Oryzias latipes: one gene and its partner. The protein of the gene in region 1 purifies or fractionates together with the protein of each later gene. This does not show direct contact. Links are inferred from orthologs where the notes say so. Each region holds a gene or a part of one and is shown in the gene's direction. Other genes may lie near its edges.

What was found.
Region 2: the proteins of rilpl1 (region 1) and rab10 purify together in Homo sapiens (co-immunoprecipitation; 3 studies listed by BioGRID and IntAct, with this or other methods). This does not show direct contact. The link is inferred for Oryzias latipes from reciprocal best matches to the Homo sapiens genes RILPL1 and RAB10.

What each region holds. Positions count from the first base shown.
Region 1 is NC_019870.2:2,567,406-2,570,450, forward strand, and holds the end of rilpl1 (RILP-like protein 1), read left to right. Parts: intron 1-939; coding exon 940-1,044; intron 1,045-1,947; coding exon 1,948-2,074; 3' UTR 2,075-2,415; downstream 2,416-3,045. UniProt on the Homo sapiens protein: Plays a role in the regulation of cell shape and polarity. Plays a role in cellular protein transport, including protein transport away from primary cilia.
Region 2 is NC_019882.2:17,731,309-17,735,136, reverse strand, and holds part of rab10 (ras-related protein Rab-10), read left to right. Parts: intron 1-1,227; coding exon 1,228-1,366; intron 1,367-3,828. UniProt on the Homo sapiens protein: The small GTPases Rab are key regulators of intracellular membrane trafficking, from the formation of transport vesicles to their fusion with membranes.

The sequences.
Region 1 (3,045 bases):
AAAGGTCCGCCTCTTTCCCTTCTCCGAGCTCTCCTCTGCAAAAACCACAACCTTTCTTTTGTTCAGAAACTCTTTTTAACAATTAAAAAAAATGTTGTTATGGATCTAAAGAGCACAGTCAGCATTGATTTGAAAAAGATTCCAGATTTTTCTAAATATGTCATATTTGTCCTCCGTTTATCATTTTTGTCTACTTCCGTAATGAAGCTCTTTTGAAAACCAAATTCTTTGGAGCCGAGTCAGGTCAGAGTCTTTACACACAGGATTAAGTCTCCTTTCACTGAAATGTGAAACCATCTAGTTCTACTAAATCAATAAACCCATTTACGGCCAGTTCACGAAGGTTTTTCCACTTTTTTGTCAAATATATTTTTTTGTCTAAACCCCATTGTTTCGTTTTAAATCTGGTCAAATGGAGGCGTGGTCTAAGTGAACAGGTGAGCATTCATCCACAAATGGACCTTTTGGTTTGTTTGGGTTCTTTTAGAACCACTTTTTTAGCTCTGTGGTCAAAACTTGACCTTTCCAAAAATGGGCAAACAGGTGCAATACACTCACCTGGAATATGGTTCCACGACCATCTGTCAATCAATCATTCTAACCTAATCTCAATGATGTTATTAATGCTCATATTCATGAAATGTACATTTTTGTCAGGCGTTAAATGGAACCTCCTCAGAAGATAACACTGAGTCCGTTTGTCTGACTAAGACGCCATCTACAGGTTACATGTGGAACTAACCTGCATTCAGTTCCCTGTGTTAATAACAGTCAGCTTTGCCGCCTTCCTACTCATTTTTCAAGAGGTTCAGTGATGTCATATCCTGTTAAGATGGTGGAAATCAAAAATGTAAAGGATTGGCTTCAAACCCCTTCATCACACGGTTCCTGTTGTTTTCCAGGTGATAGTCTGAGCCAAGTTTCTTTTTGTCTTTGCAGTGATGAAGCAGAGGAGGAGATCGTGACTCCCTCTCCGTCTCCCTCCCCTGAACTGAGGAATCGCTCGCGCTCCTCTCCACCACAGGAGTCAGGGATCAAACGCCTGTAAGTCCTGGCTGCACGTCTGCGCACGCTCCTGCTCAGAGCTGGCTTCTGGTGACGGTTTGCTTTTAGTCAGCGCACGCTTCATACATAAAAAAACAAGCTAACACGTTAGCTACAAACAAAAATAACAAGCTAACGTGTTGATTGCACACAAAAAAACACAAGCTAACACAATAGCGTTAACAAAAAACAAGTTAACACGTTAGCTAAAGACAAAAATAACTACAAAAAAACAAGCTAACACGTTAACTACAAACAAAATATCAAGCTAACATATTGGCTGCAAACATAGAAAAAAACAAGCGAGCGCATTAGCTGCAAAAGAAACAAAAAATAACCAAGCTAACATGTTAGCTGCAAAAAAAACAAGCTAACACGTTAGCTACTAAAAAACAAAACAAGCAAACACATTAGCTGCAAACAAGAAAAAAGAAAAAAAAACAAGCTTACACGTAAGCTACAAACAAATATAACAAGCTAACGTGTTGGCTGCAAAAAAAACAAGCTAACATGTGCGCTGCAAACAAATAAAAACAAGCTAACACGATGGCCGCAAACAAGAAAAGACAAAAAAAACAAGCTCACATGCTGGAGAGCTAAAAGCGCTCATGCTAATCCGACAGAAACATCCTGGCCGTCCTCTGCAGTGAGCGTGTTTTGAGCTTGAGGTTAGGGGTCAAAGGTTGATTTTAAGCTGTGAATTGTTCGCTGTGACAAAAGGACAAAACTTTCCCTGAAAAAGAACATTTACAGCAAAGTAACCTTTAAGGCGTGTCCACAGGATTTCTTTGATCAGATTTTTCGTGGCTAAACCGAAGTCTGTGTGGTTTCTAAGCGTTTGTTTCTAAAATGCTGCTGTAAAAGTTTGTAAGAAGAACGTCTGCCCGCCTTTCTTCTCTGCAGGTTTAGCTTCTTCTCACGCGATAAGCGGCGCAGCTCGCAGCAGAGCGGCCAGCTTCACTCCAGCTTCAGCTTGTGGAAGGACGACGTGTACACGGAGCAGGCGCAGGAGGCTCTGCAGCACCTGTGACCACCGCCGCCGCGGCTCAAGCTCCGCCCCCTCCAGGGAACAGATGGTGTTCTGACGATGTTCTGGAGAGAAAAGGTTTTTCACGTGAAATGTTGAAGGACAGAGAAGGATTTGACCCGGACTAAAACCGTTTAAAGGGTCTTTAAAAAAATCCTTCCACTTGTGTGGAAGCTACACATTTGTGGGATGAAATGATGTAAAAATGTCGGTCAGACGACGCGTCCATCATCCGCATTGTTCAGAGTGTGCAGCTTCATGCAGAAAAAAAGGCAAACATGATATTTTTGTGAAGAAACCCTCAGAGATTGACTTATTTATAAAATCTAAAAGAGTATTTCTGCGGGGGGAAAAAATATTTTTTTTTTTTACTTTTTTATGATTTAGTTTTAGTTTCGAGAAGAAAAAAAATCTGTATTCTTCAGTTTTTTCTCAATTTTGTTAGGGCCACCATAAAAGAAAACAACAATACATTCATGAAAATAAAGTCAGAAAAAAATAATCAAATTAAGGGAAAACTCTTTATTTTTTATTGTAAAAAAAAAAAGTCGAAATTTAAAGAGAATAAAGTTGTAAAAAAATCCTAAAACTTGGGTTTTCAATGTAAGGCACCTTGTTTGACTGCAGTCATTTTAAGGCGCTATATAGATAAATACAATTTTTTAAAAAAAGAGTAAAAGTTAGAAAATGTAAAAACATTACTGAGAATAAAAGCGTAAAATTATGATTAAAAAAAGGCAAAATTCTTCAAGAATAAAGTTTAAATATAATGAGATTAAAATAATAAATAAATTGTCATAAATTTAAAAAAAAGGTAAAAATATAAAATCTTATGAGAATATAGTTGTAACATTTTGAGAAAACAAAACTTAAAATTACGAGAGAGAAATCAAAATCTTACAAATTTAAAATATATCATTTTTTTATTTTTAAATCATAGTTTTACAAGAAAAAAAGGTGAAAGTTCTTTTTGT
Region 2 (3,828 bases), on another chromosome or scaffold:
GACGTGAAGGGTGTAATCAAAATCCGGGGTGGCAGTAAAGTTTTCCAGTCTCCCGTCAGCTACATGTTACCGTGGAAACATTTAGAAAGTGGGTCCTCGTAAGAAACTTTCTGCTGGAGGTTTGAGGCTCTGCGACATTAGCGTTGTTGACATTAGCCTGATGCTACCTGCGTTTAAATCGGATCGCTACATAGAGCAGTGCCTGTGTATATCTTATATACATTGCATGGGAAACACACAGGATGTCTAGAGATTGGATTTATTTATTTTGAAGAGTTTTACAAAGCGACAGTAATCATGTCTCCATGTCTTGACATTCAGAGACTCTCCTGGTACGTTAAGCTTCACTGTCTACTACAGGAGCTGAATGACTGTTGTTTCCTGTGGTTTTCCGTCTCTCTGACCCAGTCTGTAGACTTGCTGTCCTGCATTAGCCAGAGGAAGGACAAAAATACAAATAAAATTTAGATTTTTTTATTTTTATTTTTGTCTTGACGCAAATAAGAAAAAGATGAAGTTTGGGACGAGAACGACCAGCTTCTCTGCATGAATGGATTTGGACTCCACCCACTGATCATCACTGAACACGTCACCTGATTAGTTGTCATGATGTGTCCTCCTCGCCAAAGCAAAGAATTTTGAACTGTGGATGCGCTATGACACCCAAATTGTGCCGTGACGCTGAAATTGCACTGCTGCTGGACAAAGGCGCCATGCCAAATGATAAAACAACGCCACTGGAGCTCTGATCGCAGCTGTACATTGACTTAACATGAAACTTGACGCCTCTGGCGCGTGAATCGCGTTTGGTGTGGAAAGCAGGCTGAGAATAACAGCTGAGGTCTTCTTGTTCCTCTCTGTTTTAGCCAGGTATTGAACCGAATCAAGGTTTAAACCTGTTCTTGGAAAGTGAAGTAATAGCATCTTTAACACCCACACATAATCTAGAATCCCTTTCAGATTAAAACAAATGCATCCTGAAGTATAAACTACTAGATGTGATTATTTTAGGATGCATCATAAACTGATGAGATTTGATAAAACCAGAAATGGAAGCTTTATAATCGATGTTTGATCCTAAATTGATTTGTTGAAAAACTAAAAGTTGCAGCTTTGGTAGAAATGTTTCTGCTTTCTTCTGAGTCTGTGAACCTTTTTAGGGGGCTGGCTCTGAAGTGTCTTTTACGTGGGAGGAGCTGCTGAGTTTGTTACTGTTTTTGTTTGCAGGGACACAGCGGGCCAGGAACGGTTCCACACCATCACCACATCCTACTACAGAGGAGCCATGGGCATCATGCTGGTCTATGACATCTCCAACACCAAGAGCTTTGAAAACATCAGCAAATGGTTGCGTAACATCGACGAGGTGAGGCACACCAATGTTGCTTTTGGTTTCCTCATCGACGTGCCGGGGCGCCTTCAGGCTTTAAATCTGTCGTCAGCAGCAGCGTTGTTTGCTGATGAACTTCAGATCACCAAACAGTCGTTTATGATTCCCATGATTCACTAGTTGTTGGTAAACAGCGGCTGAAAGAAGAATGAAAGCGGTGCTCTCACAGGGATTACTGTGGGGTTAGTGTGGTGGGAAATGGTGTGTCATGTTTTCAGGAACGGTTTCTGCTGAGTCAGTCCTTCCTGTCCTTTTGGGAATGTCTGGGAATATCTTTGTGGCTGCCCTGATGAATGGAGGAATGCTTGGTGGAGGAGTTAGTCTAACCGAAGAGCTGAATTCCTTCTCGCTGTTTAAAGTGAACTTTTAAAATGGTAATTTTGAATTGTGAGATTCTATTTCCTGAGATAATTCACATCCTGGTGAAAATCCAAAGTTTGGATCAAAGCTTCAGATGTGGACGTTTTAAAAAAAAAAAAAAAAAAAAAAAAAAATTAACATCTCCTTTGCTACGATCCGTCTTTGCTTTGCTAAAAAGCCCTACAAAGATCATGCTCTGATCTAGAAGCAATGTAATCTTAATATAAATCCTTTAGACATAAATATTTATCTTTAATTCTCTATTTAAACAATAGTTTTTGTTCTGCCTGCGTCTCTACTCTAAAGCTTAACGCACGTTCTAGAACAGGGGTCGGGAACCTTTTTGGCCGAGAGAGCCATAAACACCACAAATCATTAAATGTAATTCCATGAGAGCCATTCAGTATTGTAGCGTCCCTTCCCACACTGAGGCACGGAGACTTTACCTCTTTTAAGGTTCTTTATTCTGGTTACTGCAGGCCGTAACCAACGCCGTACAACTTATTCAGCAACTCCTGAATCTCTTTCGCCAAGGGCGCTTAACCCAACCTTTTATTCCTCCCGCACCAGCCCTCCTATATACCGTATTTTCCGGACTATAAGTCGCTCCAGAGTATAAGTCGCACAGGCCCAAAAATGCATTATAAAGTAGAAAAAAAACACAGATAAGTCGCACTGGACTATAAGTCGCATTTTGACGGGAAATTCTTTTGACAAAATCTGAGACCAAGAACTAATAACTTGCACAACCTCATATGACACAATCATAGCAGACTGTTTATCTCATAATTTCACAGTAATTCTTTCTCATATTTATTTATTCCTTTCATGAAGCATCATTGGCCAACTAATACTCTGTTTTCATCCTGTATTTGTAGAATGTAGTAATTTCTATTGTATTTCTGAATCTATGAAATCATTGGAAAATAGAATATGATGATGTTAGCCTTCAAGATCTTATTTAAAAAAAAGGTTTGCTGATTCTCTGAGTCACTTAACAAACTCTTAACACTTAACATACCTCATACATCAAATTGACCCAGGAACATCATCAATGTTCCTCACAAATGAACATAACAGGAGGATTAACAATGTTTATTTCAGTTTAGCTCTAATATAAGTCACTGCGGAGTATAAGTCGCACCCCTTGCCAAACTATGAAAAAAAGGGCGACTTATAGTCCGGAAAATACGGTACTTATTCGGCCCGTAGCTGAACCCCATTGGTCCAAACTCCCCAACCACAGGCTGAGCGACAGAACTGAGAGCCAATCAGCATCTCTGCTTGATGCGTTCAATGAACTCCAGAACTTAGGACACGACCCAACAGCCACCCAGTCCAACTGAGTCACTACAATATGTTTAAAACTAAAAATACAAGTGAATGTGTGCATTTTGTGCAATTTCAACACTTTTAAAGTACAATAAGTCTGTTGATTCTTTTTAATAACATTGTTATACTGTTGTTAATAAATGATGAGTATTTCTTAGCATTAATGTGACTTCTGGTGCTGCATGGTGGTTTTGCTGATGGTCTAGTCTGGTTGATACGTGGTGAGTTTAAGCTTCATGCAGGCGTTGAGACTTCCATCCGTTAAACGTGATCGTAGGTTGGTCTGAATGTTCTTTAGATTGGACAAAGACTGCTGACATGCAGACGTCGGTACAGCAATACTCACACGCTGCAGTGTGTGGTATGTGACGGGCAGCGTGTTCTAAGTTTTGACAATTAGTGCGCGTTTCACCTCGCTGCCAGAGCCCACTACCCCTCCCCTTCTCCTACATCCTGTTCCTGCAGCTGCGCGCTCCTTCCTCAGAGACGGAGTGGCAGCTGCAGGACGGCAGATCGCAGGTTTCAGGCTGTTACAAACTCTGTGATACAACAGATAATAGTAAACCGATAGTGGGGCAGATTTTTATTTTCCAAGCACGGCTATCCCAGGCATCACGCCCGAGAAGGACTGGTCTGATGAAAAAAAAATTATAATTAAAGATTTGTCTAAGAGCCAAATGTGGCCATCAAAATAGCCAGATATGGTTTGCGAGCCATGGGTTCTAGAACATTCATTCAACCTAAGA